Linked DNA regions of Tribolium castaneum. Each later gene encodes a partner of the first gene's protein in a complex. Links are inferred from orthologs where the notes say so. Each region holds a gene or a part of one and is shown in the gene's direction. Other genes may lie near its edges.

Region 1 (3,756 bases):
ACGTAAAGAAGTAAAACCGAATTTTGATTTTACTTTATTTAATTAATTAAATTAATTAAATTAATTAAATTAATTAAATTAATTAAATTAATTAAATTAATTAAATTAATTAAATTAATTAAATTAAATTAAATTAACTGAGCCGATTTGAAAAAAACTTAGGAACATGTAAAAAACTAAAAAAGTATGAGCACAAAAAAATAATATGATGCCGTTAAATAGTATATTATACATAGAAGATCTAAAGTACAGCATTTAATTCCGCGAGTGGAGTTTGTTGCCTCGAGGACAAAGCCCTCAAAAAATTTAGTACTTTGGTCCCGAGGTATATACGCTATTTTTTTTGCACTTCCGAGATTAAAATATATACTTTAGTTTCTGTCTATAGGAACTAACGTCAGTCATTTATTCCCTAAGGATGAAATATGAACTGAACCCCCTAGAGAGTTTATTTATTCCCTATGGAACAAATGACCCACTTTAATCACTGTAAACAGGGACTAAAGTACCAACTTTAGTCCTGAAAGTGTAAAACAATATTATTATAGCGTCATACTTTTTGAGATGCTCTGTATAATAAAAATATTTTTTTGAAATGTGTCCTAGAGTATGAAAAACATCTACAAAATATCAAAACTGGAAATTTAATATTAACTGAGCTAGAAGACCATCCTATATACAAAATTATGTTATGACTATTGAGTGGCTCCGGCTAGGCTTCCTCCTTAATAATAATTTATAAAAATTGATATAATTCTTTGTTCCGAGAACAGTGACAACGCTTTTTGAATTTTTTTATTTACAATTATAAATTATGTTTCATTTATTGTTGCATTTCAGCTAATTATACAAAATAAATTTTCACAATATATAACTGCGAAGATTTTTTATTTTACTTTACCTCAAAGAAATTCCCACCAATACGCTTCTTTTTTCTAATAAAAAATGTATGTGGTAAGACTGCTTCCAAAACCTCATTTCCAAGTTAGAAAATAATCAAAATTAGCGCTCCATAATTAGAAATTATTAATTAATAGTTAATTACTTTACAAGATGGCATAAACAATCACGGGCGTGTATATTTAGTTGCATATGCAACACCAATAGATATGATTAAATAATGTGGCTATGCAGCTTCATGCATTGGCCAAAAAACATCAAATCTTAATTTAGTTTTAGTCATGGTTAGTTTTAGGCCCATTCAAATGCTTATTTTTAAATTTCGGGGAACAAAAATCCTTGACAGAACAATAGCTGAACCAACCAATCAACAGGCCCGATTTTGACGCAAGCGCGCAATTCACCATTTCAAACTTCAGTAACGGTTGCACAGATTAGTTCATCTCAAACTTTGTTTTTGTGGCCTGAAAGCCGGTAATTATTTTGCTGAAATCATGGCCGATGCATTTGCTTTTAACGCCCGACAGTATTTCGATTTCACTCAAGAACACGACGAACTAAACAGTGATTCTTTCTTTGATGGTGAGTTTGGCAGATGTGTTTTGTAGTTTTCAATAGTTGTTTTTTAAAGAAAATGTAGAAGAGAACGGCCCTTTAGGCCAGGACCTGGAAGAAAATTTCCAATGCAATGGAGAGGTTTTTGAAAGGGAGGTGTCTGATCCCGAAAGTGACTATTTCTTCTCCCCTATGGAGGATACAAGTGTGTTGGTAAAATTCGGGTTTTTAGGTGTGATAAATGTTTTTTTTTGTAGAGACGAATAGCTCGACTATTTATCTCAAAAGTCGGATGCGGAAGTCTTTGAGTATGAATGATTTACGTCTTAAGAAAGTGCCAAATCAAAACGGACTCGAGTAAGTCTCATGAAGTCATTTGTTGCGATTTTAATCAGTTATTTTAGTCGAGCCATGGATGAGTTATGTCTAAATAACCACCAACTTGCAGAGCCCAGGCCGAGTTCTGCTTGTTCCTTGAACAGCAGAAAAACAATCTCAAAGGTAATTCTATAGTTAGCGATAAATCAAAAGTATAATTAATTTTTTAGGAACACATCAATCGATTAGCTCAACCTAAACGTTACACATCGCACGATAACTTGGCCCGACAATCGTCCATGACTTTAGCAGAGGCTGTCAATAAATTCCAAGCTGGGACACCCAAACGCTTCCGCTCCAAACCCCTAAACAGTAAAGCCCCACTAGGTCCAACTATCCCAAAAACGCCCAAATTTCTCACAAACGCTCGTGTGCGTCCAGTGACAGCACTCTCAAAGGAAGAGCAAGAAGAGAGGGAGCTTGAAGAAGCCAGAAAGTAAGTGCACAGCAAACAAAAAAGTGTATTCATAAATTAATAATCTCAAGGTTCAAGATCAAGGCAAATCCGGTGAACAAGAAAGTCCTAAGGGGCCCCATGAAGCCCCCAGTCGATAAAAAGTGCCCCACTGTTGCGGAACCCTTCCATTTGACTGAAGTGAGGAAGAAGCCCGAGCCCGATGAGCCTGATAAAGCCCCCTCATTCAAGGCACAACCTGTGCCTAAAAGTTTGCACAATCCATTCAGAGTCATACCCAAGGGACAGCCCCCGACCCAGCCTGAGTCCCCCAATTTTTCGAAAAAAATTGCCAGAACCACACCAAATAAAGTAACGAAGCAGGAAGAAGCGCCAAAACCATGCAAACCTACAAACACACATGTCAAACCGTTTAGTTTCGAAGAACGCGACAAGAAACTGATGAAGAAGAAAGAAGAATTGATTAATAGATATCTGGAAGAAGAGAAGAAAGCTCGTGAGTTCCACGCTAGGCCAGTTCCGAAATCTATACTGAGGTCGAGGAACAACAGCCAGGAAAATATCAGCGATCCTGGATCGTCAAAATCATTTGTGAGTTTGAAGTTTTTACCGAAAACTAGTTAAAAAAAATATTTTCCAAAACGATGCGGATATGGTTAAAGAAGCAAAAAAGTGTAAGGGAGCAAGGGAGAATTAAATCCTCAAAAAAAATCGTAAGATCTCTAGCTAAATTGTTCCCTCACCCAATGAAGATAAAGTAAATGTCTCTTAAGTGGGTTTCAATAATGCTTTATTTTTCGCAAATTTCTCATGAATTCATTAGTTTTCCTCATCTTTTCAGAATGCTCAACATTTTATTATTTTTACAAATAAATAGTAGTCTAACCCCGTTATTCTTTTTACCCCAAAATTTTGAATTTCTGGTTTTAGTTTAAATTGTATTTTTTTGTAGAAACGCAGCACTGAAGAATTGGATTTTGGCACTTTCAAAGCACGGCCCGCCAAAGTCTTAACTATGAAACCTTTTGAGCCGAAAAAGTGCGAGGATCATGGAATCGTGATCAAAGAGTTTCAATTTGCGACCAATCAAAGACTTGAAAAGCGACACGAGTTTGACGAGGCAGTGAGAGCTAAGGAAGCGAGACTTGAAGCTCAAAAACGGGAAATTGAGGAGAGACTGAGGCGACAGGAAGAAGAGGAGAAGTTGAAGTTGAGAAAACAGGCGGAGTTAAAAGCGCAACCAATTAAAAAGTACAAGGAAGTAACCATCAAGCCGGCGAATAAAATTACAAACCCGGTCAGTCCGAAGTTCAGTTCCAGGATCAGGAACAAGGAGAATATTGAGGAATAATTTGTAATTGTTTAAGGTGATATTATTTTTACGTTTTACTTGCTACTTTATTCGGTTTATTTTATTCTGTTATAAACTGTACAAATACACATTACAACTAATTAGCTACAAACAGCACGATTCCTTTACACTTCCTTCTTTACCGGCGCAAAAAACA
Region 2 (3,756 bases), about 26 Mb from region 1:
AAGTTAGGCGCTTGCAGTACGACCCTAACCCTAAGGTCGGGGACTGGAAAAAGACGTGCTCGCCCAGCTGTTGCCCCTCGTTATCGGGCGAAGAACGCCTGGTTTGTATAATTTGATTCGATTTTGGGACCAATTTTCAAAAACGCAACTTGGCCACACTGTAGGGCGGCGTTGCCGGGTTGTGCCCTGGCGCACTTTCCGCAAGTTTATCGAACAGCTGGTAGGATTACGTAATTTGCGATAATATCCAACAAATGTGCTTTGTTGTCCCGATTAGGGAAAAAAATCAGTGATAAGTGGTACAGGGACTTGGAAATAGGCACCAAGTGGGGTCGCTGATGTGGCAATGCCATCTAGGTATATTGTATCAGAATGGCACAAACTACGTAAATTTGTATTACAAGAAAACAAAATAACTTGTTTTTAGATGTTCACACCTTTAATAAATTTTTTTGGTAAAGTTGTCTTTTTCGCCTATTTTTTCTGTGATGTCCGAAAAGGGGTGATCAGGTAATAATCCGTTTTGACCTGATAAGATGCGGTGCCGAATTTCTAGGACTCGAACACGTAAAGAGAGGGTGCCCGGTATTTGGGGATTCAATAGTGCCCAATTTATGCACGCCTGTTATCATAACTCGCCTGTTTTGGTAATAATATTGTCCGATTTTGGGAAATAGAAAATAAAGATGCAATAAATGATAATTTACTGGACACCCTTCACAGAATTCTTGTGAAAAACATTTTAACAAAACACATGGGCGGTTTATGGTTTATGGTTTACGGTCCTTTTAAGCAAACGCCGCCTGATGCGCAAAATAGCTTTAAACCGTTTGTTGTCGGTGGAGAAAAGGAGAGCTAGGGATCATAAACTAAATGAGGGGTACGTACATTTCGTTCATGAAAAATTATTTAAAATTGGAACTCGTAGTAAACGATTCTACCGAAAATTCTTTTCACTTATCACACAGTTGTGTAATTATAATTAATGAAAACAGTGATAGTACCAAGTTGATTGTAGTCTGACTGTTCATGTAAAGCTCTAATAAATTGAGTATAAATGATAATCTGTTAGCAGGCCCGGTAATTCAGCCTGATTTATTTCCGATTTTAATTCAATTTCGGATATATTTTTTAACATTGTTCCGACAACTAAAAGGCCATAATTTTATTTTTGAAAAATGTCTTTTTTATTGTTGAATTGGTGGTCAAAAGGGCATTGTGTGACAAAACCGATTTCGGGGTGAAATGGGGCGATAGTGCATTTGCGGAGCTATAAATATTGAAATTAGGTGAAAAAGTGGGAAAAATTAAGAAGCAATTTGTGGTAAATAATTGAGTTTTTCGCTATTAGCAAAGTGACTTTCTTAAAATGTCATTTTTAAGAGGGTGTTTAGTGTTTTTTCGGATTTTTATTTTATTAAACGGTTTCAAAGCTGACAACCAAACATACATCTACGCAAATTGAAACGTATTTTGCTAGTGTGAAACTGGCTTCATGTTCGGGTTTCTTCGGAATTTCGAGGAGCTGGTTTGGGGAGCTGTCTTCACACAAATTTGTTTTGGGTTTTTCGTGTTGGAGTGTTGGCAGTTGAAAAACCGTTGACTTACGAAGTGACAATTCAAATTCGAACTTATCACAAGTTGAAATTGTGCAAAAGTGTTAAGTCGGAGTGAAGTGTTTTTGTTGTAAATATGTCCCAAAGGAAGGCCCCCGTGTGCCAAAACAAGGAGAACAACGTTCCGCGCGCCGCGGCGAAAAAGGGCCCCCCGGCGCAAAAGGGGGCTCTCTCCGAGAACAAGGCCCAGAAGGGGGCTGCAAGTGACACGGCTCAGGAGAGTTCGAAGGGGCGGCGTTGGACCTTGGCGGACTTCGATATCGGGAAGCCCCTCGGGCGTGGTAAATTCGGAAACGTGTACTTAGCTCGCGAAAAACAGTCGAAATTTGTCGTTGCGCTTAAAGTGCTGTTCAAAAGTGCGATCAAAGACTTCAATAACGAGCACCAAGTGCGGAGGGAAATCGAGATTCAGTCGCACTTGAGACACAACAATATTCTGCGAATGTATGGCTATTTTCACGACGAGTCGAGGGTCTACATAATACTGGAATACGCCCCCAATGGTAAGCCCCCACGTACAGTGGTCCAAACTGCTCAAAACCCGCCAGAAATTGGTGAAATCATTAAATTTCATGTGTTTTATTAACAAAAAAACACATTTAAATTGGGGCTCAATAAACAATGAATGAAAAACAAGAGTTATTCGGAAAAATCTTCTAAAAGAAGAGCCTTCTGAAAGTTGCAAACTAAGCATTTTTGAATGATTTCAGTAAATGGTTGAGAAAGATTTATAAAATTTGTGGGTTAGTTATTACATTAAGTTAAATGGGGAACAAAGTTACTACTAAAAGCTGTCTTAACTAAAATAAAACCATTAACTACTATTTTAAAAAAACGTCTTGAGGTCAATACATTGGATACGGAAAAGTGGCTGACTATTATAAACTAAATAAAAACAATTTAAAACAATAAAATTTGTTTTTTCCATTCCCAAAAAAAAATATTTTCAATGTTGAAAAATCTGGAATGACGAGAGTAAGCTTTGAATTATCAGTGTTAAGAAGACTTTAAACTAAAATTTTTAATTTATGGTGCACTGAATTTGAAGGCAAAAAAATGTTGGTTTTTGTTACCAAATTAAATGAAAATGTATTTTCACTGTTTATTTGTTATGTCAGTAAAACTATTTCGCATTGTTTTGTAATATTATATTATATGAAAGTAGATTTAATTTTTATACTTTTTTTTACGAAATTTATTTTGATAAAACTTTGTAAATCGGTAAAAAAAGTCATGTCATATATACGAGAAATTATTATATTGAAAGTTATTACTAAAGTTCGGATTCCTAGCATTTTGCTAATTAAGCTTTTCTTTTTCAAATGAACCAATTTTCTTAACTTTTATTTGTCAGTTTGGCTAAAAAACTATGCTTTTATGCCAAAAAGCGTTTTTTCTGCTATTTTTATGCTAAGGTTGATAATTCTCAAGTTTTTTCAGTGTTAATATTATATAATAGTTTTAATTTTTCAAACTAATGAACATTTTGAGACGTCTTGGCGAAAAGTTTGACGAATGAAATTCAACAAAGTTGAAAACAGAATTTTTAAAAAATCGTCCTCGAATTTTTTTTGTACTAACAATTTTTTTAATAAAGGTTTGTTTTTGTAAAATATTTGATAAATAAATTTTATTTTGAATAGCACTGAAGTTTTCTTTAAAAAATGAATTAAAAAACTAGTTTTCTCCATTCATTCGAATCAATATTTTCATTGATAAAAAATCTATGGAATGACAACAGAAACACCTAAGCTCGACGTTTTTGTGATTTTATAAAAAAAACAAAAAAAATGGTTTAGACTACAAAGTTGAATGAAAAATTTATATTTATGAGTTTTTTGACATATTATTTATTTGTTGTATTTAAATGTGTAATATTGTGTATAAAAGCAGATTCATTTTTCACTTTTTTATTACTAAATCTATTTTTGTTAGCTATATATTGTTATTATTCTTACTATTATTTTGGGTTTGAAAAAAATCAAGGTGGCTGCGCTATTTAGAATTTAAATAGTCTGTTTTTTGGCATTTATCAAAATCTAACGAAAAAAGGGACCTTTTAACACAAATATTTTTTTTCAATTAAAATTAAAATTTCGAGTTTTTAGTTAAAAAAAAGTGAAAAAGAACATTTTTTTGA

The links. Proteins that work in one complex are often made in the same cells at the same time.
Region 2: the proteins of targeting protein for Xklp2 (region 1) and aurA are in contact, whole or in part, in a crystal structure (PDB 3HA6), measured with the Homo sapiens proteins. The link is inferred for Tribolium castaneum from reciprocal best matches to the Homo sapiens genes TPX2 and AURKA. Residues at the interface, in NP_036244.2 of Homo sapiens: Gln3, Lys5, Ser6, Ser7, Tyr8, Ser9, Tyr10, Asp11, Ala12, Pro13, Ser14, Asp15, Phe16, Ile17, Phe19, Ser20, Ile31, Asp32, Trp34, Phe35, Glu36, Lys38, Ala39; in NP_001310232.1 of Homo sapiens: Lys125, Arg126, Gln127, Trp128, Asp132, Glu152, Gln154, Ser155, Phe157, Leu159, Lys166, Glu170, Gly173, Glu175, Leu178, Arg179, Val182, Glu183, Ile184, Ser186, His187, Leu188, Arg189, Tyr197, Gly198, Tyr199, His201, Val206, Tyr246, Ser249.

Annotation. Positions count from the first base shown.
Region 1 is NC_087394.1:27,765,390-27,769,145, forward strand, and holds targeting protein for Xklp2, read left to right. Parts: upstream 1-1,273; 5' UTR 1,274-1,394; coding exon 1,395-1,482; intron 1,483-1,531; coding exon 1,532-1,660; intron 1,661-1,712; coding exon 1,713-1,812; intron 1,813-1,859; coding exon 1,860-1,956; intron 1,957-2,003; coding exon 2,004-2,269; intron 2,270-2,319; coding exon 2,320-2,839; intron 2,840-3,200; coding exon 3,201-3,599; 3' UTR 3,600-3,711; downstream 3,712-3,756. Other genes in the region: PIG-M (GPI mannosyltransferase 1), read right to left, coding at 3,725-3,756. UniProt on the Homo sapiens protein: Spindle assembly factor required for normal assembly of mitotic spindles. Required for normal assembly of microtubules during apoptosis. Required for chromatin and/or kinetochore dependent microtubule nucleation.
Region 2 is NC_087394.1:2,112,171-2,115,926, forward strand, and holds the start of aurA (aurora kinase A), read left to right. Parts: upstream 1-1,607; 5' UTR 1,608-1,692; coding exon 1,693-2,119; intron 2,120-3,756. UniProt on the Homo sapiens protein: Mitotic serine/threonine kinase that contributes to the regulation of cell cycle progression.